Linked DNA regions of Yarrowia lipolytica. The protein of the gene in region 1 interacts with the protein of each later gene in a biochemical or structural test. Links are inferred from orthologs where the notes say so. Each region holds a gene or a part of one and is shown on either strand. Other genes may lie near its edges.

The links.
Region 2: the proteins of YALI1_E33056g (region 1) and YALI1_F01405g form a complex in vitro, tested with the Saccharomyces cerevisiae proteins (2 studies listed by BioGRID). The link is inferred for Yarrowia lipolytica from reciprocal best matches to the Saccharomyces cerevisiae genes HSP104 and YDJ1.

The regions. Positions count from the first base shown.
Region 1 is NC_090774.1:3,296,147-3,313,554, forward strand, and holds YALI1_E33056g (uncharacterized protein), read right to left. Parts: upstream 9,497-17,408; coding exon 6,833-9,496; downstream 1-6,832. Other genes in the region: YALI1_E33002g (uncharacterized protein), read right to left, coding at 1,496-4,039; YALI1_E33024g (uncharacterized protein), read right to left, coding at 5,505-6,245; YALI1_E33072g (uncharacterized protein), read left to right, coding at 11,117-11,668; YALI1_E33094g (uncharacterized protein), read left to right, coding at 13,298-14,785; YALI1_E33112g (uncharacterized protein), read left to right, coding at 15,106-15,160, 15,296-16,449. UniProt on the Saccharomyces cerevisiae protein: Required, in concert with Hsp40 (YDJ1) and Hsp70 (SSA1) and small Hsps (HSP26), for the dissociation, resolubilization and refolding of aggregates of damaged proteins after heat or other environmental stresses.
Region 2 is NC_090775.1:130,465-146,203, reverse strand, and holds YALI1_F01405g (uncharacterized protein), read left to right. Parts: upstream 1-5,703; coding exon 5,704-7,158; downstream 7,159-15,739. Other genes in the region: YALI1_F01456g (uncharacterized protein), read left to right, coding at 536-1,225; YALI1_F01430g (uncharacterized protein), read left to right, coding at 3,115-3,651; YALI1_F01369g (uncharacterized protein), read left to right, coding at 9,208-9,726; YALI1_F01346g (uncharacterized protein), read left to right, coding at 11,550-12,881; YALI1_F01324g (uncharacterized protein), read left to right, coding at 13,609-13,700, 13,748-13,949; YALI1_F01291g (uncharacterized protein), read right to left, coding at 15,188-15,739. UniProt on the Saccharomyces cerevisiae protein: Probably involved in mitochondrial protein import. Is also required for efficient translocation of pre-pro-alpha-factor. Involved in heme regulation of HAP1, as a component of the high-molecular-weight (HMC) complex.

The DNA.
Region 1 (17,408 bases):
ATTCTTACGGTACAGTACTTGCAGCTACTTGTAGCTATGATACGTGTACAGGTACAGCTGTTACGAAGTGAAGGTTTTGTTAGTCTATTCGGTGTTAGTTTATAGAGCATACTCAGTGCTTGGCCTACCACTGTATATACTCAGTCCTACTCAGTGGAACATCAGGTCCAACTCAACCTAGGAAGTGCAAAGATGCATGAAAAGGCAAACGGCCAAATGGATGTCTAAGCTCTAGCTGCGGTCGGTGTTTTTACTCTTGCTTCCCGCGACATCCAGGGCTGGATGCACGGCTCCCCAAGACACTCGTAAACAGGTCCATCCGGATTTCTCCGAGAGTGAGAGAAAATACTTGTGTCTGCATCTTAACGCACATGACGCACAGAATTCCGCCTAGCTGGAGCGCAACGTGACGCTCTCCGGGGTGCGTTTCCCCACACGGCATGCGTTCGACAACAGACAGTTCCCGATTTGCCCTAGTGTGCTATTTTGAGCCGACAATTTTTTCTCACAAACTTCGGCCGAAATAGCTCGGCATCTTTTATCCGGGTTCCAAGAGTGATTAGCTCAAGGTTATCAATTTGATCTTGATCTAATGACTGACTGACTGGTCACATAGCCACTGGAAGGGCAGGACAGAAATACACGCCCGTGACAAAGCGCAGCTGGCTAGAAAAAGGCAACAGTCATGAAACAAAGATCCGACACGGATATACCGCAAGCTGAAAAATAACAACTAGAGCAAGACCGACTCGGCCGACATGTGATGATCGGCTTACTGTCAAACAGTCAGGTGAGTCCGTTTCCTTGGTCTTGTCGATTCAACTGACTCCCTAATACAGCTGAAATCCCCAGCATCACACAACTCCACCCGTAATTACTTCCTGCTCCGAGCAGGAACCGCAAAGTTGGTATTGTGTGTACCCGGCCATCCGGAATCTAAACCGCTTTTATGCACACGACCGTTGTAACAAACCAACCGCTTCCAAAGTTACAACGCAATACAAATACAGTATTGTGGCTATTGTACATGCTGACGTGAATGGAAGGAGGTGACGAGATGTAGAATGACAAAGTGTTGAATAATTTTACGAAAAGAAGTTGGAATGTGTACTACCATCGTAGGGATCACGTGACAATCTTTTTGTACCAACACTGAATCCATCACGTGGTGTTCCCACCGCATGTCTCTTTGAATATAAAGACCAAATGAGAGACATTCACCGAGACGTATATTTGCAGGATGAAACCATAACGCCTACTTGTAGAAGTATATACATTCAATATTTGTATGCTCAAGGCCCTTCTTGTATCGCACCACCGTGGGTACATACAATACGATTACTGGAAATTACTATTAAATACTTATAATAGGACCTCATGTAATGTCCGATACAGCCTACTGCCCACCGCCTCCTATAATCCTACCAATGCATTCACTATATCCTTTTGTGCGAAACGATCTGTCGTTTTATCTGTCTCTCTCGTCTGACGTCTACTAATTTCCCTCCTCCTCTTCCTCGTCTTCGTCGGTCTCTGCTTCACTCTCTTCCTCGTCGGTCTCCTCTTCACTGGCAGTCTGGAGCTCTCCATCTAAGTCATCAATATCATCCTCATCTCCTCCGTAGCCAAACTGCTCTCTCCACACTCTCTGTTCTCGTTCAAGACGCTGCTTCTCAGCCTCAGCAACTCCTCCACTGGGCTTGAGCTTGTTCTCTCCCACAAACTCGCCCAGCTCCTTTTCAAACTTGTCGACTCTAGACTCAAGTTCAAACTTTCGTAACCGCTCAGACCGTTCAATAGCCTCGATTCGAGACTCATGGTCGGGTTTCAGAGCAAGGACAGACGAAAGAACTCCCTCCTTGAGATCCTGAACGGACTCAGTAGGAACAGGGAGAAGTACGGCCTTGTGACTGTTCTTGGCGGCACTTTTAAGCTGCTCGTTGGAACACTGTTCAACAAGAGCCAGAGTAGATGCAGCAGAAGCCAAATCCTCTCGCAGATCGGCCATGAGCTCCTCCTGAAGTTTGAAGAACTGCTGCTCTTCGCAGATGGTCTCCAGTTCTCGTTCCCAGACCTTCTTCCACACGGACTTTTGCGAGTTGATGTAAGTCTCCAGAGCGGTGAGCTCGGTGTTACAAGTCTCCATCTCTTTGGTGACAACTTCAAGCTGACCGGGCTCAGCCCGAACGCCTCGCTGAGCGACATCCTTTCTAAGAGCCTCAATAACGTCCTGGAGATCGTCTGCTCGAGTGAGAAGAGCATCTGAGTCAGTAGAGACCTTCTTGTTGGCCATTTCCATGAAGGCTCGAGAGTTGTCTCCAGCGGCGGGAAGAGAAGAGTAGTCTCGAAGCTTGCCAATGGTGTCGGAAATGTCCTTCATTGAAGTCTTCCAGAGAGTGAAGGATGAGTCCTTGAGCTGTCGAATAACAGCCAGCTCGTGCTTCAATGCATGCATATCGGCAGCCTTGGCCTTGAGAAGATCTTTGTCGGCAATAGGAGTGGGAACAGGAGCAGGCGCAATAGTGGACAGTTTGGCCTGTGACACTTCTGGAGGAGCAATGACGGGAGTCTTGACAATGGGCTCCGTTGCTTTAACGATAGAGGGACCTTGTGTACCGGCACCGACTGCTGCCGAGGGAGGTTTCTTCTCCACCATAAGCTTCAAGTCTCCAATTTCTTCCCTCTGCTGGTTCAGAGCAAAAGTAATGGCCTTGACATGTTCCAAGATGCCCTGGATGTCGTCGCTTTTTTCCTTCTCTTTTTCCTTCTCCTTCTCCTTCTCTTCCTCTTCATGTAGCACCAGCATAGTTCCGTCGTGGATATCGCTCAGATGCGACTCTTCCAGCTCATACTCCACTCCAGATTTTTTGTCACGAATGTAAATGTTGGGGAAATCGTCTGCTCCAGGAGAGTAGTTGAATGTGGAGATGAATAGGAGTCTCAGAGCGTTGATGTTGACATCCGAGTCAGCCTTGACCTTTTTGGTAGCATTTCCAAGTCTAAGAAACAAAGACATTCCAGGTCCTCCAACATCTGTAGCCGTAGACACATCGCCTAAATCACTCTCGTCGGGAAGAGGAGTCGATGGCAACATGGGCATGTCTGGAACGGCCTTTCCAGGTGCTCCAGAGGTAAGTTTGGCGTATTGGTAAGCCGAGAATCGTCTGGATGCTCGTCTTTCGAGCGCCTCTCCTCGTTGTAAAGCTGCCAGAGGGTCTCCACGTGATCCCGGGCGTCTGGTCGGAGAGCCCTGGGGAATGGCAGGGGCCATGGCTTGAGCCATAGCTCCAGGTATGCCAGGAGGCATGTGAGCTGGTGGGGCCATATGCGGTGGCTGCGGCGGTTGTCGGGCCACCGGTGGACTGGGTAATCCTGGCTGCTTAGGTGCTGAGCCTATAGTTTGAGACCGTCGCACATGGTCTCTATCATCCTTGTGCTGTGGCAGAGAGGTGGGTGCTGAGACCTGTCTGGAGGGTCCGTATTGATGCTGGGGCGGGTGTGGTCGGAAATTTTTGGGTGATTGTTGAGGTGGGATCTGTTGCGCCTGTGCTCCTTGAGCTGCTCTAAGTGCAGCCTGTTTCTTCTTCAGACCCTGAAGCAGGTTGATGATGATTTCCCGAATGCTGGGCAGGTACAGATCGAGGTTTTCCTGCGATGCTTCTTCGCTTAGCGCCTTTTCTAGCACCGTCCGCAGCGCCTGGGGCACATCGCCCATGTCAGTGACGGGCAAGCCGGCGTTGAGAAACGCTCGACAGGCAATGTTGAACTCGTTGCCCAGATTGACGTAGATGTCGGACACGTCCTGTTCAGAGGCTGCTCCGCGGGCCCATTGCGTGAGGCTCTCAAGCAGCTGTTTGGTTGCTACCAGCAGATGGGTGACGCTGGACTCAATGGAGTTCATGGCAGTCGAGTTGCGGGCCATGGGGGTCTGAGCAGACAGACGTCTTGACGAGCCTGTGGGAGCCTGCTGGTTGTGGCTCTGGTGATGCGGAGGGTGCGCCATGGGTGGCGGAGGGTGCTGCCCACCGTGGTACGACATGGGTGGTGATGGACAGGTTGTAGTGAGTGTACCTTGGTGTGGGCCAGACTGCACTTCTTGAATTAGGTGTAATATGTGTCCCACAAACCTTGGGAATGTGTTTAGCTTTGTTGGTGGACACGGAAGGGGAGCTAAAGCAGGGGCGGGAGGATGCGATGTCAAGGTGTGAGTGACTTGTATAGTGGTTGTATCCAACACTGCTTTGCCGAAAAAAAAATAAACAAGACCCTGTCACCACACACTGCTCTATCTTTACATCATCCCCACAAGGTTCTACTTACCCCAATCATGTGATGTTGCAGATGCACTAGCAAGAAAAAACCATTGTCCCACCAACGGCTCAAAACCACAACCACACTCAATACTGTAGTCTTGCGGCGAAGAGTTACATGACGAGTAGATAATAATGCCGTTCTCGGGTATCTGCCAAGAGATAACGATTGAAGAGGGTTTGAAAAAATATATGAGTTCTCAGCTTGAACATTAGCAGCAATAGAGAAACTTCTAACGTGTAACATGGATGAAACATTACGTCATTCCACCTATCGTACTGGGTATTTTTATTACCCAGTGAGGGGGTACATTAGTAAGCTATTTTGTAGTACTGTGAGTTGATTTTCAACTACAAGTAGTTACTGTAATTGTACAGCACGAGTACGAATATTTACTTATGGGGTGAGGGTCGTGAGTTGGATTATAATAGAGCGCCAGAATACAAAAATTGCCTTGGTTGTCGCCTAGAATTTCGCACCAATATTTGTCAGTTTTGGTGTAGCACCAGAACAGCTTATCGTGGCCTACAGTACATACTGTGGTGAAGTCGTACAATTTCAGGGTTAGTCAGGATTAGCCAGGGTTATTTAGGAGAATGCTGAACTGTTACTGCTGTAGTACACAGACACACGCCCCAGTTGGTCAAGTCAACAAGCTTGACCGCTTTACTTGGATTTCTCATGTACATTTCAACAATCACTGATCTCATGACTTCACGATACAACTCATCTACAGTAGTATTTATCATTAGTGGCTGAAGCTTGGAGCATTTTTCAACGTGGGATTTTCTTAATGTAAGAAAACTACTGTACAGAGGTGACTTCAAGCGCGTGTTTCTAAGGAACGTCTTACGTTATTTCCATAAGCAGTGTGTGACCACTGAAGTACATCGGAGGAAGACAATTACAAAGACATTCGTTATAGTACACTGTCATACCACACCCTACTCTCATTACAAGTACCGGTACAGGTACACAATCCCACCTTGGCAGCTTGTATTATCTATCTAATTAAAACTGCGAATAGTGCCATGCAAAGGAATACTGATCCGTTGGAGACACACCCATATTTTGAAGTCAGGCCATGCCAAATACATAATGCATAATAGTTTAAGCGATGCTCGCTGTTGAGTAGAGCTCGCACTGCAGCCAGCACACCAGTGTGTTGACGAGGAGAAGCAGACTGGCTGTGCTTAACCCATCTGCTGGTACAGCTGGGACCACTTGGTCTGCTCCCACTGCTCGCCCTGCTGGTCGTTGTTGAGCTTGAATATACTGCTCATGACAGTAAGCTCGAAAGAGGTGGTGGCGTAACCAGCAACGGCCATCCAGTCGTTGACAACACAGCCAGCGCCGACAACAGGAGAACCTCGGTTGACGGATCCAGCAATCAGGGGGACCTGGAGAAGCGAAGAAAGCTCATCCTGGTCCTCAATGGAGGTCTGGGGGTGGACAATACCTCCCTGGTTGGACAGGGCACAGTAAGAGCCGACAAGCACATTTCCAGCAACAGTCTGTCGGAAGACCTCAACACCAAGCACATCGGCAATCAGCTCTTCGGTCTCTCGCTCGATATCGGGATGCACAAGAGCGGCGTAGTCGTTGGTACAGATGACGTTTCCAAGAGCAGATAGACGCTCCTCAACTCGCTGGATCTTGACCTCGTCGGGCAGGGAGTTTCGCAGGTGCTGCAGCTCAACATCCGAAGTGGTGGAGGGCACAAGCAGACCTCGTCGGTTGCCGGCTGTGAGACGGCCCACGAGTCGGGTGCCGCCAATGGTGGAGTAGACAATAGGAATGGTATCTTGGAGCTCGGCCTCGAAAGAGCTGTAGAAGTTCTCGGAGCCGCCAACAGCCACCAGACAGTAGGAGTTGGTGAGCTTGGAAAAGACACCAATCTCGTCAGAGTTTTCAAACTGGGCACGGGTAGCCATTATGTTGATTGATTTTTTTGAATAAGGGGTGAAGTGTGGTTATTCAGGCTTGCGGTGGATACTGCCTATCTTTATGTTTTGCATTGCAGCACAATTTTTTCATGACCGTGCAGCTCAGCTGCGTGCTGGAGTATACTGTGACTGATCTCGTCAACGTGTAGTTCTTGTCATGTCATACGTGCAGACAGTATGCAACTGTGATGGGCCGGTGGCGATATATGTGTAGATTGTGTGTGTGTCTTGCGGCAGGCTGTTTGGTACGTATGGTGGCGGATCGTATTCATGTAACAACAAGATAGTCCGACTGTTTGTGGACTCATACTTGAATTGAATATCGACTTACTACGGAATATATTGTAATACCTCCATTGGCTCAGACTGTGATCGGAGATTGACTCAGTTAGTAAGCAGACCAAGGGTGGGGCGAAATGTCCCTTTCAGAATATTCGGTTTTACTCTCATTTCTTCTATCATTACCCACCACAGTTCGTGTTACTGTACACACTACTGTAGAGATACAGCGATCCATTTATACAGTTAATTCATTATTTTATACAATATTTAGCTACCTCCTAGCAAAAAATACCTTAGTCGAGATCCATCTCGTCGTCAAAGTCATCGTAGGAATCTTCAGCCAGCTCCATGTCCGTCTCGCCGTCATGGTTGGGCAGAATCTCCAGACCCTTGTCTCCTCGGATGATTCGGACCTCCTCGCCGTCCTTAATCTGGTGCTTCAGAAGCATGACAGCAAGCTTGTTGAGAACCTCGTTCTGGATGAGTCGGTTGAGAGGTCGAGCACCGAGGTCGGGGCTGTAACCGTTCTCCACCAGGTAGTCCATGGCGTCCTCATCGAGATGAAGTTTGAGGTTTCGGTTGTTGTGCTCGAATCGCTTCGAAATCTCATGGAGACGAATGTTGATGATTCGTCGAATGGACTTCTTAGACAGCCGGTTGAAGACAACCATAGCGGTGATTCGGTTGAGAAACTCGGGTCGGAAGTGGCCCTTGACAGCCTCCATGACCAGGTCTCGAGTGGACTGGTCAATGGTAGTCGAGGTCGATCGGTTGATGAACTCCGCACCCAGGTTGGAAGTCATGATAATGATACAGTTGGATGCGTTGACCACCTTTCCGGCGGAAGATCGCACTCGACCATCATCAAGAACCTGCAGAAGAACAGTGAGCACCTCGGGAGCAGCCTTCTCAACCTCATCGAACAACACAACGGAGTAGGGCTTTCGGATCAGGGCCTCGGTAAGAATACCACCCTCCTCGTATCCAACGTATCCGGGAGCAGCACCAATCAGCTTGGAGCCGGAGTGCTTGTCCATGAGCTCGGAACAGTCGATTCGGATCATGGCCTGCTCGTCAGCAAACAGGAAACCTGCCAGCTTCTTGGCAAGCTCAGTCTTACCGGAACCGGAGAGACCAAGGAAAAGGAAAGAAGCGGGGGCGTTGGGGTTGGCAAGACCCGATCGAGACAGTCTGATCGCGTTGGAAACGGCCTTGACAGCCTCGGGTTGGCCAACAACTTCTCGAGAAAGCACCTTCTCCATGTTGATGAGCTTGGTGTTCTCGGCCTGGGTCAGCTTGGTGACAGGGATACCAGTCAGTCGAGCCGCAGTCTCAGCTACCTGGTCGGCGCCAACAACGTCCTTGATCATGGACTTCTCCTTAGCGGCATTCTCCTCTTCAAGCTCAACAATTCGCTTCTTCAGATCCGGAATGGCAAAGTATCGCAGATCAGCAGCAGTGGAAGTGTCTCGTCGTCGCTCGGCGTCGAGAGCCTTGGTCTCGAGCTCATCAACCTTGTGCTTGAGGTTGTTAAGCTCAACGTGACCTGCTCGCTCTCGCTCAAAGGTCTCTCGCAGAGGTCCGAGCTCCTCCTCAATGTCAGCCACTCGGTGCTTCGCGGCATCAAGACGCTCCTTGGTACCCTGGTCGGCGTGCTGGTCTCGCTCCAGAGCCTTGACCTCGATCATGAGCAGATCAAGCTCTCGCTCCAGGGAGTCCAGATGCTCGGGTCGAGAGTCTCGAGCAACAGCAACAGCGGCTGCAGCCTCATCGACCAGATCGACGGCCGAATCGGGCAGCTTTCGGTAGGTGAGGTATCGGGAAGCCAGCTGAGCAGCAGAAACCAGGGCAGAGTCCAGAATTCGGACTCCGTGATGCAGCTCGTACTTGTTCTGGATACCTCGCAGAATGGCGACGGTCTCTCGAATAGTAGGCTCTCGCACGTCGATCTTCTGGAATCGTCGCTCAAAGGCGGCATCCTTCTCAACGTGCTTTCGGTACTCTTCGTTGGTGGTGGCACCGATACAGTGGAGGGAACCTCGAGCAAGCATGGGCTTGAGCAGGTTGGCAGCATCACCCTTTCCATCACCCATGAGCATATGGATCTCATCGATGAACAGGATGATCATGTCCTTGGAGTCCTCAATCTCCTTGAGAACACCCTTGATTCGCTCCTCAAAGTCTCCCTGGTACTTGGCACCAGCCTTGAGAGCTCCCAGATCGAGAGAGAAGAGCTGGCAGTTAGCCAGAACGTTGGGGACATCGCCGTCGATGATTCGCTGCGCGACACCCTCGACAATTGAGGTCTTACCCACACCGGGATCACCAATCAGACAAGGGTTGGACTTGGTTCGTCGTGCCAGCACTCGGATACATCGTCGGATCTCCTCCTCTCGGCCAATGACAGGGTCAATCTTACCCTCTCGAGCCTGTTTGGTCATGTCAATGGCATACTTGTTGAGGAACTCGAACTCGTCGGCTCCGTCAGCGGTTCGCGAGTCAATTCGTCGCTTTCCTCGCACGGCTGTGATGTTGGCCTCCATGACGTCCTTCTTAATACCGCACTCCTTGAGAATGCTCTCAATAGAGGAGTCATCGAGAAGGGCCATGAGAATGTGGTCCTGGCCCACGTACTCGTCCTTTTGTCGCTGCTTGTACTTGATGGCATTCTGCAGCACCTTGGAGAAGGCGGGGCTCTGGGACAACTCGTCGGGAGGAGGGCTTTGGCTGGGCAGTCGAACAAGTGCCTTGTTGACGGCTCGCTTGAACTGGTCCCAATCGTACTTGCCTCGCTCTACGACGGCCTTGATGTAAGGATCAGAGGCATCGTCCTCTGCATCGAACATGGCAGCCAGAAGATGGATTGGCTGGAGAGTGCCCTGCTGGTGCTGCTGGGCCAGCTCGACGGAAGTTTTGAGGATCTTGTTAGCTCTGTCAGTGAATTCTGATTCGTTCATTCTTGTTGTAATTGTGTTAATGTGTGTGTTTCGAGAATCTCCAGATCGGACGGGTCTATATAAGTTTGCTTCGCTGCCTCAGTTGTCTATAGCTTTATGCATGTTGCACCTTGACTTCCTTAGAGTTGTAGAACCTACGAGAACCTGGCGGAAGACGGTCGAAGACAATGGAAGATGCTAGAAGGTGCTCGAAGAAAATCCTACATTTTGCCACTTTTACATGTATTCCACAACCTTCCAGGGTTTTTCCGAGCAATATTCGCCCCGCAACGTCTCTCAATGGTTGTTCCTATTCTCGTCCGCCTCACATGGTTCGAGTGGATTAGGGCGCGCAGATTCTGCACACCCTGGCCGCAACCAAGTGATCTGCCTTGTGCCACGGACGAGGGAAGCGAGACGGATGTTGCTGTTATCCCTGACAAATTGTCTATCCTTACATAATACTCTGGGACCTTACGTTTCTCTTATCGTATTCTCTTACTGTTCAATTGATAGATCATATGTACGTGCTCTACTTCTGCTTGTTACTGTGATGTACCACCAGTCAGACCACATGGAAACAAGGACGTTGGGACGATCGTGCAGGCGGGATTATCCTGGAGCAAGGCGGCTCAAAGGGTATTGTACTCGTACAAGGGATGTGTGGCTCCGAGGACGATGCATGTGTAAGGAGGAGGATTGATTTGCAGACACCTCATTTCTTTTTGGTGCCTTAGTGGAAGATTGGTAGCGGTGTCTTTTTCGTGTTTGAAAAAGAACGCTTCTGGACTTCTCTCTGCCACGCCGTTGTTGGCGCATGCAGAGACGCTGGTGCTAGACGAATGGGCAGATGTCTGTGTTGTGTCAGGTAACCAGTTCATACAACGCAGCTATACTGACCATATGTACATACTGTACTTGTAGGATCGTGAAGCTCCTATGTGGGTCACTCAATAGTAACTGTTACAGGTAACGGTAACAGTAACATACTGTCACGTGTAAACACCGCATCTCACCAAGGCACCCGTCAAGGCATCGCAGTACAACTACAAGTACTTGTAGCCTGCAGTAGCTGATTACCAGCGGTACTCGTACATACTGTAGCTAGCTGCAACAATACGAGGACACCTGATCATGGAATTGATAGTGGGTATATAAAGATGACCACAGTAGACATCAGGCAAAGCCATTGTTGCACAATTTGGGCTCTCAGGAAAAGAGTGGAGGCCCTCTTGTATTACGGGTGTTTTTCTTACTGTAGCTATCCTCGCCAACTCACACCAGGATTTTATTTCTCTTTAGGCATTATAGGCTTATGCTTCCGTACATCCTTGTAGCTGAGTTTGGTCAGTGAGTTTCACCAGACGCAGCCATAGAGGTATTTATTGTCGTATGCGACGACCAGATACAAGGAGCGCAAGCGAGTGTATTTAAATCAGATTTTTTGCAAGATATCTTTACTTTTCTCTTCAGCACGTGCTTTACTGTATTTACAGTAGCTATAGAGTGCAAACAATCCCCTTCACAGTCAACGTTGGCTTGTATGCCTCATGTTGTCTTCTCGTTCTCGTCACTCCAAATGACCACAATTGATTACCCCAGAGGTCGGCGAAGATTTTCAGCATCTCTGTCAATGGAGATATGCTTGCACTCGGGCTGGAGAAGGTTACAGCGTGTATTGACCGTACCTGCCGTACCTACCACCGATCTACACGGTGTCTCACGATGAAGAAAGCGTGTCGGAATCGATTCCCGATGCTATATAACCGCCTGTTTTCTTGTAGATCCCACACTCTGAATACGTTAGAGCCCGAACCCAAGATTCGTTACAGTATGTCGTATGGCACCTCTGAAAGAGACTATCCACGAGACATGGGAAAGTATTGGCCAAAATATCGTAAAGAGACCGTGGGGGAGGGGAACAAGAGCCGTTGGGGTGGACAAGGCTCCTTGTACCTCAAAGTGCTTACCCGTTTCGTATGTACCCAGTTGACGCAGATTTATGTACCTCTCTCATGTCCCATATTGGCCAACCAAAACACGGTTGGTTTTTTTCTGCGCCTTATGCTCACCTCAAACCTCGCTTGCATTTGCTTTGAATCTCTAATTCTATGGGAGCCAATATGCGAGATGAAAAGGGCAATAAGCTATCACCAACTACTGTACAAGAAGATAATCGTAATACAAAAATGACAGTTCGGAGAGATTTTGTGGACCCCAGAGGTAGTTCCACCATCTTACACAGAAGCATCATCACAAGCAACCCGATCAATTACATTGTACAAGTACACTCTGCCGACCATGCATTGCAGCTCAACCGAACAAGCACACAATGACCAGCTCCATACAAATAATATAGAAGTACAGGCCCTGAATAATACAGTACTTGAACGGTTATCGAAGGACAAGCCACATTAGCAACGTCTAACAGGCTCTCTTTGTGCTCCCTAGTCTTGTGTCCTACCTGAGCATCATTTTTAAACTGATCGGGACAACTGATCGGGACACCCACATGGATATTACCCTTCCGTTGAGTCATGTCGTTGAGTCATGTGGGGCTGACACTTGCGACTTGTACTTTGGAAGAGAAGAGGCAGAAACGAGTTCTTTAAAGTCACAGATTCGAGCAACCATTCATTCCGGCTTGCCGCCATCAGATATACACCTACGGCCTCCTTGGTCAGTCCCATACTTGCAACTATCTCACTCCTACAGCGGCGTTGTTTTTTGACCTTGCAAATAAGCAATAGACATAAAAGACAAGCCAGCAGCCAAACCAGAGTGGTTCAAGTGTAGTCCAACGTTATTGGTAACCTATAATACTCGTATGACTCAAGTGAATGAGTCTCAATGAGTCTCGGTGACTCGCTTTGACTCAAGAGACTCAAAAGACTCAAAAGACCCAAGCCGCTTGTAGCGAACTTTAGACGCCGTGGTTCCCGAACACTTGTTTTCGTGCGGGAGCCATTGGCCAAGTCTTTGTTGGTCAACAAAGAACAGATGGAAAAAGTTTCATGGAAAAAAAATTGGTAAAAAAAGAGAGTTTGATTGAGGTTGACACAAGGAGCAACTTGAAAAGTAGTCGGTGCGTTGTGTTGTTGCTGGAGGCGATAAACCACATCACGTATGATTATTTCTGCCTATAATCAACTGGAATGTACCACAAACTGCTCCCACTACCAGTAGAACCTATTTCCCGCATCGCTCACAGCCGCACTTCCCCCCACACCCCTGTAGGCGTAACTTTCAGACCAAAGACATTAGCTCAAACACTTGAGTCATTTGTTGCATAGTATTGAGTCATCCATATCCTAAACAAGCACACGCTCAACCTTTTCTTGAGTCAAAAGCTAGTCACTGGCGAAGCAAGGTGCGTCAACAGGTTCTTCTTAAATAGCTCCTCTTGGCCCACAGAGACGTTTTTTTTTTCTCTTCATCGCAACAAGACAACTGCAATGACAGGCTACATTTCTGAACCGGCGTCCAACGCCATCATCTACTGCACCCTATGTTTCTTCCTGGTCATGGGAGTAGTGGTTGGCTACTTGCACATGCGAAAACAGAAGAAAGAGAACCAGGGCAGTGAAGGATTCTTGTCTGCGAACAACACAAAAACAGCGCTTCCGCTGGCCATTAATTTTGTGGCATCAGGTGAGTACTAACTGAACAGAATCATGACTTGCACTGCGGGTGTTTTTGGAGGCTTTTGAGACGGTATAACGACCGCTGGTGTTAACTGTCTCACCCTCCAAAGGCTGAGATTACACCGCCACACTCGAACAAGATAATGCTTGCGTGAGAAAGTGCGTTACTAACCCAGCCATGGGAGCTGGAACCCTCAATGCCTATCCCGACATTGCTGTGCGAGCAGGTGTCGAGGGCTTGGTTGTCTACGGTCTCTCTTCTGCCCTCCCCATGATGCTTTTCGCCGGAGTAGGCCCCATTGTCCGAAAAGCATGCCCCGATGGCTTTGTGCTCACAGAATGGACCCGACTAAGATACGGCTGGCTCACTTCCTTCTACCTCACCTGTCTCACCATTGGAACAATGTATCTGTATATGGTTGCTGAGCTGGCTGCTGTGCAGGCTGCAATTGAGACACTTACTGGAATTGATGCTCTGCCCGTCCTGATTGTTGAGGCTGTGTTCACCTCCATCTACACTGCTGTCGGAGGTTTCCACACATCTTTCTTCACAGACAACTTCCAGGGAGGAATGATGTTGGTGCTCATGGTAATTGTTTGTGTTGGTCTGGGAGTCTACTTCCACGTTGATCCTTCTGAACCCGCCAAATCCGGTATGCTGGGCCCGAACCTGCTCGCTAACAAGCTCATCTACATTCTTCCTGTTGCCATTGCTACCAACGATTGCTTCTTAAGTGGTTTCTGGATGCGAACTTTTGCTTCAAAGAACAATGTTGAGCTATTCTGGGCCTGCGCTATTGCCAGCTCTATCGTTCTTATTGTTCTGACCGTTGTTGGTCTTACTGGCTTGCTTGCTGTCTGGGCTAAGCTTGAGATTGATGGACAGGTCTTTGTGTACGGAGACGAGCGATCTGCTCTCGCTTTCTTCTACGTTCTCAAGGAGATGCCTGGGTGGGTGATTGGGTTCACCGTTGCATTTGTCCTGTCTCTCTCCGTCGCTTCTTATGACTCCTCTCAGTCTGCGATGGCTTCCACTATCTCCAACGACTTCTTCCGAAACAAGATTCCCATGGTCTGGGTGCGTCTTATTGTGCTGTGCATCAACGCCCCCGTCATCGTGGTTGCCCTCAAAGCCCCCAACGTTCTGAACATTTTCCTGATTGCCGATCTTTTCTCGGCAGCCGTTATCCCCATTATGTTCTGTGGTCTTTCCAAGCGAATGTACTTTATTTCTGGCTGGGAGGTCATCGGAGGCGGTTTCGGAGGTATGCTTACAGTATTCATTTTCGGATCCATCTACTTCAAGAGTGCCCGAGAGGGTATCAAGCTGATTATTCTATTGGAGGGTCTATACGGGGATGACTGGTCTGCTTTTGGAGCCTTTGTGGCCGCACCTGTAGGCTCTCTTCTCTGGGGTTTCGGAATTCTTACTGTTCGTCTGACAGTTCTTAAGATCTACTCGCTCATCACTGGCAAGCCTTTCACTGCCCTTGACAAGCCTTCAGATGATAAGACCGGTATTGCTGTCATTCGGGAGATTGGCCATGTTGAAGATGACAATACCTCGGAGTCCATCATTCTCGACCGAAAGGACCCCAACATTCTCACCGAGACACACATTCTCAAGGAGCAGCCTACAGTCAAGGAGGAGTCGTATGAGGCGTAGATATGATCCCCCAACCCTCAAAAATCGCATTTGCGTTCTTAGTATAGCTTAGTAATTTTTATTTCTTCATTCGAATTTTATAATATACCGCAAGTGTCATGCTTTATTGCGAAATCCATCTTATCACTCACCGGAAAATGTCGTCGTAGGGGTGGGTGCGCCATATCGGCTTTACAATCCGAAGTCCATGGCCACAGGATTCGGCTGTGTGTTTGAGCCATATCTTTCACGTGTCAGGCGCGATCTCCAACCCATAACAGCGTTTCCGATATCTGCGGATTTCGAAACAGTCGACAGGAACTGACAGTTATCCTTGACAGATGACATTACTGTACTGTAACGACATGTTGGACAAGCGAGATGAGATGAGAAAGTGTAGAGTAAGAGTACTGTAGGGAAGTGGTAATGAGGGTAAGGTATATTTGGCTTGGTAACACAAACAACACACCTGCTACTATATAATCCCTGCTTTTCTGCCCACCTGAACTCCTCTGATCACCCTGGTAACAGCTGCTCCCTCTTCCCTGGGATACCTGGCTGTGGCTTTTACCAAGCACACCGCCAAGGAGACGTCCAGCCCCCACGCAAACTTCGAGGGCGTTCGCCACCTCTGGTCCAACACCACAGTCCTCAGAAAGCGACAGACAGATGTCACTCTGACTTCTCAGAACTACGTCTTCTACTCTGCTGACATCACTATTGGCACTCCTGCTCAGGAATTCACGGTTCTGGTTGACACTGGCTCTTCTGATCTTTGGGTCTACTCAAGAAACGACACCCAGGACTGTGCCAACAATGCCTGCCAAGCTACCGGCCAATATGACTCGTCTGCCTCTTCTTCCTACAAGTTCGTCTCTAACGACTTCTCTATCCAGTACGTCTCTGGAAGCGCTGCTGGAAACTGGGTCACGGACACTATCACTGTTGGAGGCGCTAGTGTACCTGATTTCCAATTCGCTAGTGCTGTTGATGCCCCTGGGGGAGTAGGTGTGTTTGGAATTGGTCTTGCCTCTGGAGAAGCAGCCAAGGTCAAGTACGATAACTTCCCTGTGATGCTCCAGAAATCAGGAATCATTTCCCGAAACGTCTACTCTCTCTACCTTGATTCCATTGATGCGGCCACCGGCTCTGTCCTCTTCGGAGCTGTTGACTCTTCCAAGTACTCTGGTTCTCTCGAGACTTTGCCTCTGACCTCGCCCAACGCCTTCCAGGTCGCTTACGGAGACATTTCGGTAAATGGACAGAGTGTTTCCAGCGGCGGAAATGCCATTCTCGACTCCGGAACCTCTTTCTCGTACATCCCTGAAGCTGCATTTGCTGGTCTTCAGAAAAAGCTCAAGCTGGGAACCCTCGAACCCAACACCCAGCTATACACTATTGATTGCAACGCTGCTTCTTTCAACGTGGACTTCAAATTTGGAAGCTCGACCATCTCTGTTCCTTCTTCTCAGCTCATCATGCCTCTCAAGAACTTTGGGCTCAACTCCAACCAGTGTGTCTTTGGTATTGTCTCTACCAAGTACTCTTCTGGTTATGTTCTTCTCGGAGACACCTTCCTGCGATCTGCCTACGTCGTCTACGATCTGGACAACAAACTCGTCGGAATCGCTCCAGCCAAGTACGGCACCGCGAGCTCCATTCAACGAGTCACTGGTTCCCTGTGAGTAGTCACACTACCATGGCACAACGCTGGTCGTAAGTCTGTATAGCTAGTTAATATGTTTGTACTGAGCGGTGGTGACGTAGGAAGTGCAAAAAAGAGGTCTGCGGTGTGTCGAGGTCAGGGACAGAAGTCCAAAGAACTCTCGAGTCAAAAATAGAAGCCTACAACGCTCGAGAATGGCAAAAAGGTCGTACCCGGAATCGAACCGGGGTTACTGGAAGGTACTTCAAGAGTCAGAATCCAAGGTGATAACCGCTACACTATACAACCAGAGAAAATTGGTCCCTAGCAGGATCGAACTGCTGATCTTCGCGTTGCAAAGAAGCTAATTCTTATTAGCACGACGCCTTAACCAACTGGGCCAAGGGACCGAATCTTAAAAAACACTAAAACATGGGTCACCAAATATGAATGTGTATTATGTAATCGCTTAAAAAAACGCTTTGTTTGATTGTTGATATATTTATCCGGTCTAGAGATGGAACAGGAAGAATGCGTGAACAAGCGAACACGAATGTCATGCGCTCTTCTGAATAACCGAATCCGAATCCGAATCCGATTTGCGGGTATAACATTGTCTTTAGGCCGCAAGTAGCTGAAATGTATTTCCCTAGAATAAAAAAAAACATCGTCTATAAGATCAACCATCATGACACTGGCTACTAAGTCACCCAGACCCGAAGAATGCACGTCAAACGTATTCTACGACAACGTTACAACACACCGCTTACTGCGTCTTCATTTATCAGCAGCTCTAGATGGTCCAGCTTGAGGCGACTACAAGTACCAGAATTTTTAATGTTTGATTGTTACTATTTTAATGTTTATCCAGTCAACAAGCAGAGGAGAAACTTGCGGAGAACTGTGAGCATGATTGTCACTTGTACAAGTACAAGTACAAGTATACTTGTATATTCAGTCTGATTAGCGGATATAAGATACTGTATAAGGGACCCACCC
Region 2 (15,739 bases), on another chromosome or scaffold:
ATTTTATTCGTACTTCTATCATATATTTCTTTATATCCCGAATGACTCAAACTCCCAACCTGAATGCACTGTTGGTACAGTATCACCAAACTCTACTCACAATATCCCCCTTTTCAACCCGCGCCAAACTCGAACCCACACCTTTTCGTCTCCCCATATGCAAACAAAATTTGCGGGGGGGGTGGAATTCCCACCAATAACCTCAGTTACAATCAGCATTCGCTAATGGGGGGTTGTCCGGAGGTTGCAACAAGTAGGTCGAGGGGTGGATAATGTGCAATTTTTGAAATAAATATATACTAATTTACATGCGGCCAATCATATGCCACGTCTAAAACGAAAATTCACCCACCAATACACCCACTGTAGACCATTCGTGGCCTGCGGCCACTCATTTCAAGGAACCCTAACCTCGTCCCTCCCAACCGTCAGCCAATGAAAGCAAGCAAAATTACGTGACAAGCTTAAAGGTGTAATACTGCTTGGAGAGGGTACAACACCACACACATCACCACCACACACAAACCAAAAAAAAATGTTGAGTCTGGTCCGACCCGCTGTCACCCGATCGATTCTGCGAGGCGCTCCCGGATCCATGCGGCTGCTGTCCTCCACAGCCCGGCTCCACGCCCCCGCCACAGACTCCGCCATCAACATCTACGCCGGAGGATCTGCCGCTGCTGCTCCCCCAGCAGGCTTCCGAATTCACAGACCCGCCACCTGGGAGGAGAGCGAAGAGGGCGCTCTTTCCAAGGCCACCAAGTACTTTTTGCTGGCCGAGATGTTCCGTGGCCTGTACGTTGTGCTGGAACAGTTTTTCCGAGCTCCTTACACCATCTACTACCCGTTCGAGAAGGGACCCGTCTCTCCTCGATTCCGAGGCGAGCACGCCCTGCGACGTTACCCCAGTGGTGAGGAGCGATGCATTGCCTGCAAGCTGTGTGAGGCCATCTGCCCCGCTCTGGCAATTACCATCGACGCTGAGGAGCGAATCGACGGATCGCGACGAACCACCAAGTACGATATCGACATGACCAAGTGCATCTACTGCGGCTACTGCCAGGAGTCGTGCCCCGTGGACGCCATTGTCGAGACTCCCAACGTGGAGTACGCCACCGAGACTCGAGAAGAGCTGCTGTACAACAAGGAAAAGCTGCTTGCTAACGGAGACAAGTGGGAGCTCGAGCTGCAGTACGCTCTGGACGCTGATGCTCCTTACAGATAGAGAGGGGAAATGCATTTTTATTAGGAGAGCGAGCAGTTGGGGTTGCGGAAAATAACAGGACTGTAGCGACTGTTGTTTTACGGCTCCATCTGCGAACGAGTGTAGCTATCAGTGTCGTAATAAGAGCCAAGCACTACAACCGGAGAGCGCATGTGTTGTAAGAAAACACTTTCTATTATCCGCCCATCTGAGTGTTGTAGGCGCTCTCTTTACGGTCAATTCAGTTGTAGTGCTTATTGGCGAGCCACATTATGTACGAGTAATGTGCTCGAGCGAATACATAAATAACTGTGCGGAGACAGTATTCATCATATTAGCACCTTGTACAGTACAAGTAAAGTCTTGTCCATCCTTTGAGATTGCTTTTGTCGATTCAAGATGGATATTGTATAAGTACTCGCGCAATTGTACACACAGTATTGTAGATCTGCAGGATATGAGTGGATGCAGTATGTTACGTGTGCTACACATTACCACGTAAATCACGATAATACGGAATCTAAATGGTTCTGCGGCTCAATAACACTCAATAACGGACAGATTCTGGACGGATTCTGAACACATGTCTTGCCACATGTCTCTCTTCCCTAGCCTAAGACAACCTCCTGACCTTCAAGTAGAGTGTATATCTCATCATCTCAGCATCAAAGTGTAGTATCAACAAGTGGTCTCGATATATTTGCAGCTGTAGACTTTTGGGCATCTTTGTAATGTCGATTTAAAGCCCCAGATTAGCGAAATCCAATGATGTATTTTTCATGTCATTGGACGTTGTATTCGTTGTTCTAGGTCGACGCTGGTTGTGATTACTGTAGTCTCTAGTCGACATTTTAGTTGACAACTTGTTGAGGCAAAAATACACCTGGGAGTTCGTTTGTAGTGTTCCCGCAGGGATGGAGAGCTAATATTTATATTTATAGATACAAAATCATCTAAATAAAAGACTTATCTCGGTTCAAATGATCTACATCAAGATCATGGATGAATATGTGCACTTCCATGTGTATTCAACCTCCATAGTTAGTTGACAAATTAGTGAAATTGGAATACACTTTTTTGGAGATCTACAGGACAGCAGTTGGTGAGCGAGAAAAATCACGTGCTGTTGTATTATCAGTGAAAGTAATGCAACAAACTGACACTGAAATTTCTCTTTCACTCATTTTGGGCCTTGTACTGGCTCGTTATGTTGAAAATTGGCCATGTTTGAAAGTATCTCTCAAATCAGTCAACTAAATAAGACCCTTCTCAAAACCAATTGTTTTTTTGATTATGTAAGCTTATCATAACTCTGCACTTGAGCACGAGGTGTCTAATTAAGACATCCCAGAGTGATCCAAAATGGTTTAAATTACTTTAAATCCATATAAACTGAGTATTTATTGTATTTATAAAAAAACATTAGCCGCATATCTTCACATTGCCCTTCCCTTATGGCACACCAAGTTGGAGATATGCTGTAGAGTCTACTCTCATTAGGTCCAACACCAGTCTTAGGAGGTTTGTATGGAAATGAAGTCTTGTGATCTGAGTAATAAAGCCATATAAGCAATATTCTCTAGTCTAACAGTTTCTCATCGAGTTCCATTCGGCTGTTATATGGCTTTGATGGCGTCCAAGATATGAAGTTCATCCAACTTGGATGTCTGACATGAGTTACGAGATAAAATATGTGTGAATAATACTTTTCACGAGATTAAAAACAAAAATGTCTTTCAATATTTCCGATATAGCATCGCTAGGGCCGGTTTATACAACCCAGTGCTCCGTCCCTCCCTCGCTTATGTAATACAAACCCTAAACCTCGACATGCATGATTTCGAAAATTATTTTTGTCGTGCATATCTGTATCCAAGACAAACTCATCACCACCACATTACACACAAAAGATGGGCGTTTCAAGTGCTTCTGAGGCCACCGTTGCCAAGCTACTGAGCCGAACGCTTGCTCCGTCCGAGGACGTGAGCCGACGAGTGCACAAAAAGAAGTCTGCGACCCAGCGAAAGCTACGGCAGAAAGAGCAAAAACAGAAGGAGGAGCTCAAGCTGCTTCTGGACAAGGAGCTCGCTGACAAGAAGCGCAAGGCTGAGATCAAGAAGAACGCGCGGCTGGTGCGATCCTATGACGTCAAGGAGTCCGAGTACGCGATGGACGAGGAGCAGCTTCAAGCCCAGATCATGAAGCACGTCAACTCCAAGCGGGGCTCCCATATGCTCAAGTCCAAGCAGCTTGCTGAGCTCACGGGTCGTCTGCCCAAGCCTAAGGTGAAGCACAAGACGTATCCCAACTATGTCGAGCCTGAGGAGGAGGAAACTGAGTCTGAGGGAGAGGATGAGTTTGAGCGGTACAAGGGTCAGCCTGGCTTGACTCCTGGTCTGGCTCCTGTGGATTACGAGTCGAGTGACGAGGAGGAGGTGGATGAGTGAACTTTGCGAACGAGCGAACCCATCTGACAGCCTGAAGGTCGTGCTCAACATTCCTCGCCGTGACAGTTGTACGGATCAAACGACCCGTTATTGAGTGGGCTGTTGCAGAGATATCTGCAACATTACTGGACGATTGGCAAATCATTCACAGCTGCATCACTATGGCAGACGACAACAGCATGGATTTATTGCATTAATTTATTGTTATTAGAAGTGAAGTACTGTACTGTACTGTACTTGTAGCTCGTACTTGACAAACAGAGGTCTACTCTCTCGAAGGTGGTTATTTGGTGTTCTGGTAGCTAAACCCCTTCAGGGTACATTAGTCCAAACTAATATAGGTAATGTTGAGTCCTACATTTTGGTCAATCCAGGTATATCGAAATATATTAATATATATTCGGCTACATTTTTTTCTCAAAGATCCTCCTTGGATCTCGAACGACGCTGGGATCTGTATTGAACCTCAAGCTGGCATTTTCTCTAACTAACTTCCAAGTAAATGATCCGACAGAGGTAAGAAAAGCGTACATTCATTTCAAAGGTTATTCTTTCACAGCAAAGTTATAATTAAATGAATGTATATGCAGGAAAAAAAAAAAAAAAAAGTAACGGAAGGACAATGGTAAGCCAGCTATAGCAATCTGCTGATCAGATTTCTGCAGTTCTTTTCAATCAATCAACCAAGTCATCCAATGAATCTAATGGACTTGAGTGGTTCAAAATAAATCTCTTATCCAGCAGATCAAGATGTCTCCATCCAGTCCCAGTAACATACTACTACAAGTAGGAGTTCCGATGTGAGCACCATCACACGAGGCTTCAAAAGCTGTTTCAAGAGGTATTTCGGACGCTGAAATTCATTTATTCAGCCCGGCCACCTTCTTAAAGCTTCTAACTGCTCCAAAATCGTTATCGATTCAATACCAACGAAGTTGCAATCCTTCACCGTTGGTTGTTTTGCTACTTGAATCTTTAGTTGACTCCCCTTCTACTTGTCGGTAATTTTTAAGCCCATCTACACATCACTCTTTCTCAGCTCCTAGAACACCCTAGAACTTATCTCGTGGACCCCAAACCGGTCCCCACTGACCACGAAACTTCCATGCTGCTTCGATTGCGTATACCTTGCTATCTGAGGCACCAACCCACGCCCCAGCACGTCGTTTTTACTCGTGCCCAGCGTGCAATTAGATTGTGCATCAGTGATTAACTCGAGACAATTGGGATCCGAGATGAGGCGGTTGAAGGGATGAATAAATATCACGCAAAAAGAATCAAAATATACTGCCCATGGCACACGTATATTTATCACTATTTTTGCGTGATATTTAATTGTGTCCCCACCATCGCCCTTCCTCGATGCGATCCCGCTCCCGTACCTGTAAATTATAACTCGCGATTACGTCACTAAGTTGAGCTCATCGAACATTGGGGAAACTGGAAGAAGGTCTTGGAACAAGAGCTCGCACAACTGAACACTTTATGCACGACGTCAGAGACCCCAAAACGGCCGCAAAATGGAGCCAGAGACCCGATTTCGCGTGGCAAAAATACACAGCAAAAAACCACTCCCACGCCACCCCACCAACGCCCTTCTTTCTCCACTGGCACGGGACTGAGCAGGCAGTGTCTGGATCTTTCTACACCCTTCTTTGTGAACCTTATTCGCGTTAAACACTCCCAGTACTCTTTGTGCCCTCTAACTTTCAGGCCCATCCTCAAATTTTTTGGCAGTGTATATACAAGCCAATCTACGAGAAGTTGAGGCCTCCTGGAAAAATTAGACCTAGACTCTCACAACAACACAAACACACGACACAGACAAAATGGTCAAGGAATCAAAACTCTACGACGTTCTCGGTGAGTATGAGAAGAGAAGAGAAGAGGAGAGTGAATGGACGGAGCGGTTGAGATGAAGCTGAATAGTATGAAGACCACACACAGACTTGTGATCAGAGTCTTATCATATCAAGGATCAGAAGCGAAGCGAAACTGTGGTGATGTTGAGTGGGAGGGATTGGCAATGTGACAATGTGACAATGTGGCAGTATGAATATGAACACAGTGCAATCTGAGGATGGTTCTGTGTTTGTGTACATGACTGGCTGTTCATCTGGATTTGTCACACTGGTTAGTAGCAATGTTGCGGCTCTCTCATTACCATCCTGCGATTGCCATGACCAAACCACACAACCTGGTATTACCAGACACGCTACGTGCTCCCACATCTCTCCTGTCTCTCGCTCAGTCGTGCCACGCACCCCGAAGTGCTTTACTAACCCAGGCGTCAGCGTAACCGCCACCGAAGTGGAAATCAAAAAGGCATACCGAGTTGGTGCTCTCAAATACCACCCCGATAAGAACCCCGGCAACGTCGAGGCCGAGGCCAAGTTCAAGGAAATCTCCATGGCCTACGAGGTTCTGTCAAACGACCAGAAGAGAGCTGCATACGACAACTTTGGAGAGGCTGGCCTCGGCGGAGGAGCCGACGGAGGAATGGGCGGCGGATCTGCTGAGGAGCTGTTTTCGCATTTCTTTGGCGGCGGCGGTGGCATGGGCGGCATGGGCGGCATGTTCGGCGGCGGCCAGCCCCAGGGCCCCCGACGATCCCGTGACATTGTTCACGCCGTGTCCGTGACCCTCGAGGACCTGTTCCGAGGAAAGACCTCCAAGATGGCTCTCAAGAAGACCGTGCTCTGTAACGGCTGTGACGGTATCGGAGGCAAGGCCGGCTCCGTCAACAAGTGTGAGACCTGTAAGGGTCAGGGATTCAAGTTTGTCACCCGACAAATGGGCCCCATGCTGCAGCGATACCAGACCAAGTGTAACGACTGTAACGGCGAGGGCGAGATCATCGACCCCAAGGATCGATGCAAGGACTGTAACGGAAGAAAGACCAAGGAGGAGCGAAAGGTGCTCGAGGTCAACATTGATAAGGGTATGGTCAACGGACAGAAGATCACCTTCTCTGGTGAGGGTGACCAGGGTCCTGATATTATTCCTGGTGACGTTGTCTTTGTGCTGGATGAGCAGCCCCACGCCCGATTTGTCCGACGAGGCGACGATCTGTACTACCACGCCAAGATTGATCTCAACACTGCCCTTACCGGTGGCTCTTTCATGATTGAGCATCTTGAGAAGGAGGAGTGGATCAAGGTGGAGATCATCCCCGGCGAGATCATTTCGCATGGCACCACCAAGGTCGTGGAGGGCAAGGGTATGCCCTCCTACCGACACCAGGTTCACGGCAACCTGTTCATTCAGTTTGAGGTCGAGTTCCCCGCATCTGGCTCTCTCAACGAGGAGACTCTGCAACAGCTGTCTGCTCTTCTGCCTGCCAAGCCTGCTCTTCCCAGTGTGCCCGAGAGTGTCCATGTTGACGATGTTGTTCTGGCTGACGTGGATCCTCTCAAGCACCGAGGAGCTATGGGCGGCGATGATGAGATGGACATGGATGAGGATGGACCTGGAGGAGCCCAGGGTGTCCAGTGTGCTTCTCAGTAAGAGATTAAGTACGGTTATATAGAAACTCTATTTATGTTGCAACCTTGGAGGTGACAAGATAGTAGGTAGATAGAGGTTAGAATGGATTGATGATATGAGAAGAGAGCCTGAGGATCTAGTCCGCTGAGGATCTAGTCCGAATGAGAACAGTAGTGTAGAAGGAGATGTGAGTATAATTGTTTGTAGTTCGGCTGTCTCCACGGATATATGAGTACAGGATGTACAGCACAGTACATATGTTGGTGACAATGTAGGTGTGTGTACATGTTCGCGCAAAGCTATGAGGATCCCACTGATATCTCCGAACACATGCCATATTGAAGTTAAGAGGTACATTCGATCGTATTTATTTGCTTTTTGATCTGGTTCCTGAACTACTGTAACATGACTGTCTAGGCTCGAGAGCACTTCTTGTACATGTAGTGTTCGAAGCAGAGAAGGGTGGTGCTATTGATTCCAGGGTAGTTTTTGGTTGTTTGTGCCACTATGTGATAGCTGTTTTGGTATACTTGTACAGTAGCTACTTGGTTTAGATGAGTAAGCGTACGTAGTTATTGAACAGTATAGTGTTCTTAGTAGCTAACACCCATATATAGATATATTGACCCAATTGGATCATGATAAATGAGTTGTCTGTACAGTACTTGTACAAACCGGTATTATGAATAATGGCGGACCTTGTCGTATCTTTTTCTATTTGGATTGATAGGAGCAACATTCAAGCGTCTTGTTCTTGGGCGTTGGCTGTGTTTGGACACATACCAACATCCCCCTTTTTTCCGCCATTATTTGTCTATGTTAATAAATCACTAGAGAAAAAAGACGATGGGGAATCCAACGGTAGTATTTAATCACAGGAGGGCTAGTGAATGAGACTAGTTGATGGGTTCTTAGAGGGGGTTTAAGGTGGTGAATCAGTCGTAACGTTCCTGCGTTACAATAAATGGTACAGTAGCGTGTCTGATGGTGAGTCTAGAGTTCCGAGTACATGACCGAATGAAACGGGAGTTGCGGCTAACAGATATTCACAGAATCCTTGAATGATTAATTGACTTATTTTCCTCATGTCATGTTTTCCTCATGTCAAGTTTTCCTCATGTGGGTATGTTTTCCTCATGTTATATCCTCTGGATGTCCAGTAGGGGCTTTGCTGTTTGACTGAATGGATGGATACTGGGGCAGTAGTCCTGTTACAACTACAGTACTGGTTGCAAATACTCATCTACTGTTGACATGAGTAGTACATACTGTGACACCCAGTACAGACTACAAGTACTTATAGCATGTTATTTCGGGCTCCCCTAAGATGTCGGTTCTTGTCGTTCAGCAACTGAGACACCAACGGTAGATAATCGAATGACCCCGCTGATTACTACTTGTAGTGGGAATGGGCAAGCTGGTGACGCTCCTTTTTACCGCTCTCAAAGGCTCAACACACTCTCGTACTCGTATCTACACATACCAGTACATTGTTCGATTGACATCCAAAGATGAAACATTGACCCCACCATACAAGATTGTCCATTTCTCACAAGTTTTCGGCTCCATCTCTCACACCCACAGTTTACATCTGTGGCTTCTCTTCAAACAAGCTACCTGTACTTGTAGATGATTAGGTTGGCTTGGCTCTCCATTTGAATCCGTCGCTAGCTCGAAAGCAACTCGTATTCGCTTCTCTTTCCGTTCGCTTAGCTTTGCTTCCCCCAGCCTCTCGCGAAGTCGACAAGACGCCGCCTATAGCTACATTTGTAGGTATGTCCTTGAGCTGACACTGTGTGACTACGGGATCAGCTGATGGGTAAGAGTTATGGACACTATCCGCGCTCTACAGTAGTGGCGCTAGGAACTTCAACTAAGGCGGCTCTCCGCGCTACTGCTCTTTGTGATGCTTTAAAACGCCCGTTAGTGTGGCTAGACGTGATTTGTGGGCGTAAGGGTGAGCCCACTGGTGGATAAATGTAGCGTGGACTCCAGATACATACCAGTCTTGATTTTCTTCGCCATTCTCTCCGCCACTCGTGTCTCATTGAATGCAGGTCGTCCACGGAAATGCACCCATGTCGTATCCAAGGTCTCAGAGGACGTGACCATACTCATTCGATGCTGTTCCACATGTCTTTGGTAGCAAGCAAGTGCCGTGTCTCACAAGCGTGCACTTGTACACTTGCTCGACGCACTGATACGACCACAGAGGCTACTAATCGAGCTACAAGTAGAGACAAGTATCGTACATGTCTGGGTGGAGTTGAAGTACAATTCAGCTGTACTCGTACTGTAGGAAGGAACCAAAGGCAGCCAACTATCGACACAGCCCCAGAACATTGGCTTCTGTACGTTCATATCTTGTGCCTTGCTCTGTACCTGCACCAGCACCAGGAACGGATCGAATATGGTAATGCAGCCATACATGATGGACGGTTCGATAGAGAGATTCACTTTGGGGTCGCTCTCTTTTGCCTTTGGTGGGCTCGACAAAGAGGTGGCTGCAAGATGAGATATGGACAGATGAGATGTCCTTGTGAGACTGTAGATCGTGGTGCAGTAGGTGGGAGGGGGGTTCACTTTTGAGTATGTTTGAGAGGAGGTAGTCTGTTTGAAAGCCGTTTGGTCAATCAATTGAGCGATTCTGGGTCGATTTCAGCTTTCCTCTTGTCTCTGCGACCTTTACTTGTCCGTTATACCTGTCTCCTCTCGTCTCGCGTCCATTTCCCATTTAGACCGTGTTCATCGCGACCCAGACCCAGACTACCCTTAACGCATGGTGCCGATCACGCACACCCTTTTCCACACATGGTTTCAGTTTGGAATGATGGTCGACGTGTCCATATCGAGCTTCCTGAGCTCTTCTTCCAGCCTCCTCATGTCAGGGGTACGTGTCATGTGACCGCGTCGGATCCGTTTATAACAATTTTCTGTATGTACTGTAGATGCTAGATGCTCGGTAGACACTTGTGGTTGTCACACTTCCTGTAGAGTCCCATTGGCCCTCCACAAAGGCAGGCAGCCAAATTATGCTGGGGATATTATTTGAAAATGAAGACAAAACAATGCCAATATTACGAGCTAGCGTTTTCTAGTGAAACGTCTTGTGAGAAGACTCTGACAACTGACACACAACTGCTGGAGCCCCCGGAATCTACTCGGATACGTCTACCTTTGGTCGCAGTACAGTTTTATGATTGTAGGGTTATTTTGGCTTGATTTACTCCTTGATTGAGAGACTGGGGAACAGAGCCCCTACGGGCAATACCAAGGAAAAACGGTGCTCGCGCCGGAGTGTGGTACATTCCGAGGCCTTTGCAAGTGGATACCCTGGACAATGTCTGCACGTTGAGCTGGTTCTCGCTGCTGCTCCCACGTTCATACGTCATCCCATACCTCCGTTGAGAGTGGTCCTGAAACCAACAACGAAAAGCGTGCAGGCCTGCCAAATCTAAAACCGCAGGTTTCACTTGGGTGCACTGGTGTCGGTTAGTTTTAGTGCGTGAAAAGATGCATTTAATTTTTGCACGTCTCACGTTGAAACACGGGTGCAAAACAAGGGTGCTTCAGATGCGACTATCAGGAATGAATGTGAGTCGGCGGATGGCTGGAGGGCACGTGTGGCCGAAATCTGGGGGACTTGCAGCTGGTTTCGGACCGTCCTAGCTGGGTATGTACACGTTGTACTGTACGAATGTATGCCGACTCTGTTGATACTCCCCCTCCCGACGCTCCCACACAGTCTTGTGTTGTGCACCCTCCACAGTAACAAGACTATAATCAAGTACTGTAAATCAAGGATGTCAAAAAAAGGACAAAAAGGTCAAAAAGAGACAGTGACAAAGGCAAGGGGTAAAGAGTAAAGGGCGAAGGCAAGGTACGAGTGGAGGACTCTGCTGCCATGACGCCAAAGTGAAAACCGGAAAAATCAATGTTGGGCCCCAAAAAAAAATTACAAATGCCCTGCCCAATCTCGCGGCGCCGTCCTCACGCTCCAAGCTGGCGTTTGGCCATCCCACAATGGATATTTATAGCACCACAGCGCTCACATGGGAGCACAATAAACTCACATGAGCTACCTCCCACATGTGGGTGCGTACACAAAAATAGATCAGAGTGCCAGCCTCAGACGAAGGTTAAAAAACAAGGTGCACACTAACTTTGCCAAAAAGCCAGAATAGACTCCCTTGTACATACATGTATATTGAATATACATTGGCCTCACCACCACCGCACAACACAACACACACACACACCAAAGTGCGACGTACTCACGCCCGAGAACCAACTCATCTGGATACTCGCAACCCCCACGCGCACCCGGCACTCTCCCGCAGCTCTCACGACTCGAGTCCCGTAACGACAGGCCCAGAACCAACCCCAACTCTCCTCACCTCTCCCAGATACCCATGAACTGCTCGGTGGCCGACATGGCGGGTTCGCACGTGCCCTCCAACCACCACCACCCACAAGCACAACAGATACACGATCCCGACGCCATGGACTCGTTGCCGGCGCCGCCGCGCCACCTGCCGTTCCGACCGCCCAAGGGCAAAAACTCCAACACCAAAAACCTGTCGTTGATGGTACCTCAAGGTAGCAACCAGAGCCACAACAGCCACAGCAATAACAATGTCTCGCCGCCTCACACATCTATAGAGCCTTCGATAGCGGCGCCGCTGCCGTTTGTGCTGCCTGTCAGCTCGACGCCCGTGCGAGCGTCCGCCCCCTCGGTTGCTGCTGCTTCTCCTCTGGCAGCCTCCTTCTCGCTGGGACTGTCTCGCAAGGGTTCCGTCAAACGATCCCACGTCGACGCCGAGCCCGAGGACGCAGCCTACGACAGTGACTACCGCAGCGAACACAAAAACTACCACTCCAGAACCTCCCCAAAGAGACAGTCCCCCAGTCCGCAGGTACAACCAGCCGCTTCTGCCACTGTGTCTAGTGTGCCTCCCTTCAGTATGGAACCACCACCGTTTACGATGCAGAGACGAACATCGCAACTGAGTATCAGTATCCCGCTGGCCACGTGCTCCGGCTCAAACACTCTGCCTGCCCCCTTGGGCACCCCGACGTCCCAGTCGCACCATTCCGCCAACTCCGCGGCCTCTCAGCTGTCGCTGTCGGACTCGGAATCGGACCCCAACTCCGATAACACTACACACACTACACCGCCACCAAACTACGACGATGCGCTTCCACCCAGCAAACATCACCTGTTCGCAGAGGAGCTCATGACTCCCTCCGTGCACCATGAGAACGCATACCCAGATGGACCCTTGCTCATCTACCCCAGCAACGTTTACCTGTACTCGGAGCCTTCTGTGGAGCTCGCCCGTACGTTCGACGTGGTCATCAACGTGGCCAAGGAGATTGACAACCCGTTCTCCGAGGAGCAGTATGCTAATGATGGACAGACCAACCCCGAGTACGTCTACGTGCCCTGGGGACACAACTCCAAGTTCCTGCCTGACCTGCCGTATCTCACGCAGCTGATTGATGACAGAAGTGCTGCTGGCAAGCGTGTGCTGGTTCACTGTCAGTGTGGAGTCTCAAGAAGTGCGTCGCTGCTGATCGCTTACATTATGAAGAAGCAGCAGCTTGATCTGAATGCAGCCTATGACTGGGTCAAGTACCGGTCGCCGGAAATCGGACCGAACATGACGTTGATTTTTCAGTTGATGGACTGGCACAAGCATTTGCTGGGCGAAAAGGATGCGTTGGAGAGCGACGAAGATTAGGTGCCAGAGGCTTTTGTCAGTCTAGGCCGGCTACACGCTCAGTTTTATGCGAGCCAGAAGTCCTGCCTTGAATTAGGGCTCTACAGGGGACTTCACCATCGCGACACCCGGTCTACTGAGTCCTGGACCAAAAGCACTCGAGTCTGAGCATTGATGCAGACTATAGGGCTCAGAGGAGGATCATCTGAAATGAGGCCTCCATCTCAAGGCTCATATCTGGAGCTTGTGATCCACAAGATATTTCTCACCAGCTTCAAGGACACTAATCACTTTCCCTCTATGCAACACAGTGCGTTTGTTTGGGGCCTGGGCTCTCACGCGCAGGCTACTGAACCCGTACTTCTACTTTTTGTCACTGGATGACTTCGATGGACACTCAACCCACCATATATTTATTCTATTGCATCTTACTTGCAGATTTCATTTCAATACATCTTGATTTCTATCCGGGGTTGTAATAGAGTGAGGGCTAGCCGTGGCCATCTTGGGCTCCTTTCGGGACTCTCGGGACTTATTTAGGGGTCGTCATGACTTACTTAGGGGCCTCGAGGGTCTCTAGATCATTTGCTTATTTATTCTAATTTATTCTAACTAATTATAATAACTGATTAAGACCACCCTATTATGTACTGTACCGGTACTGTAATCACGAAACGTCTTTCAGACCGTTATATGTGACATTACATACTAGTGCTGATACTGTCACATCTGATACACACACTCTACTATGTTATACACGCTGGTCTGCTATTTATTTTGTACAATTAATTTTTTGTCCCTCTGCATGTCAATATTATGTCGAGTATATCCCATATTGCTGTAATGTAATTACAGTGACTGTCAACAAGTGTCAGTCTGAAGAATAGTATCAGTTATGGAATCGTTCACAAGTATAGTACAAGCTCCGTGCAAGTACTTGTACCGTGTAATCCAGGAACACCACGCCTGCTGCCAGACTCTGACATTTGTCCGGATGTTTCAACTGCACCCTTCACCTTGTGCATGGGACATCTTCTCATGACAGAAAGGGAACAGAGTTCGGTTGGTGCACAATTATTACGTCACTGAGACGGGTGGGCAAGACACGGTTGCCACCATGTATAACAGCTGTCTCTGGCCATCTCCATCTGACATGCCTCATGTATCTGGGATGGGCTCTGGCACCTCGGCGGAAGAAGCAAAAGCAAACCGATGTGACAGGCAAAGCCAGTGCTGTACAGTACATACTTGTAGGCGGCGGGACATATGTCATCAGCCATCACAGATGACCGGATACAAGTATGACTGTACCTTGACAACAGGTCTGGGCACTTGTACGAGTATGCATGCACCAAGTGCTCTATTAATAGTGTAGACTCTGTCTCCTCTCATACACACACAAATCCGGCCATCTGCACAACCCGTTGCATGCGTTTTTCCGAGTGGAGATGATAGAAGCGTGAGTAGCAAAGCCGTGGAGACCAACGGTGGCGTATATAGATTTTTGATTTTTGATTTTTTGAATTTTCACTTTTTCATCCGAAATATGACTCTCTAATGTCATCGGTCCCAAAAATCACGTGAACCTGAATATGAAAATCTGTAGCCGATTGGTAGATGATCATCATATGGTATGTAGTTCTGCCAGTAGATCTACAAGTACTTGTACGATACTCGCAACGCCCCATGACTCTTCGGAAACCGTGACCCGGGTCACCTCACCACTGTCTCTGTTTCAAAACAAAACGGCTGAAACAGAAACATGTAGCCGAGACGCTCCAAACACAGATAATTGATCCTTACTGTAGACTGCAATACGAGCTGGGTGCGTGCGCAACGGTGTGGGAACTCGACAAGATGAGGGGACAACTTAGTGCTGCACCTCTCTTGATGTGCGTTCGGCACGAGTTCATGTACTGTACGATGGGTACGAGAAGCGAGGAGTCTACAATGTCGGTTAATTGACTCTCTCAAGAGAGTACTGTACGATTCAAGTGCACTAGAGTAATCGTACCCTTGGGCATGTTAACAATAGGCACCCGTCCTGAACAGGTTCTGTACAGGTACGAGTTGGTACAAAGAGTAGCGTCTAGCGTCTAGCCCTGTTGTTCGGTATACACGGGTAACTTACATTCCTGAAGAACTATCTATAAGTAGCCTCCTACATACTCGCATCACCCACTTCAACCAGAGCCGTATTAAAACCGTTTACTTTCTCTTCTCAAAGTAAAGGCTACAGGGCTCTTGCAAGCGGCCTCTCACTACCGCGCGTCCGTTTATACTCATTAACTATTCATCTAATTCATGTCCACAGCCCGTCTCCTACCCTATGCGTGAGCCTTCTTGATTTCGGCAATGTCCTCCAGAGCCTTGGTGGAAAAGTAGCGCACGTCCACATCGCCGTCGGTGGAAAGCCGCTCCAGGTGGGGGATCACGGTCGATGTGCAAATCTCCTCAATCACCTCAGGCGAGCTGATCTTCTCCTCGTGCAGAGCCCGCACCAACTCTGTGTACGTCTTGGCCACATTGAAACGGATGTTGGGGATGGGGTCGTTGATGAGCTCGGCAATGAACGGCAGAATGGATGTCTTGATCATCGACTCGTCCACCACGGGGATGAGTGTGGTCACGGCACAGAGGGCCGTGAGTCGGTACAGGTAGTTGGAATCCGCAGCAACGACGATAATGTGGGGCAGAATCTCGTCCTTGGCCCAGTCCACACCAAACACCTTGGTCAGCTTCTTGAGGTTCTGTGTGGCGGCCTCTCGAATCGAGTAGACGCTGTCCCACAGCCAGGTCATGCACAGGGGACCCAGCTCCTTGTCGAAGAAGGAGACGCCCAGCTGTGTGGCCAGCAGAGGGATGTACTCGATGATGGC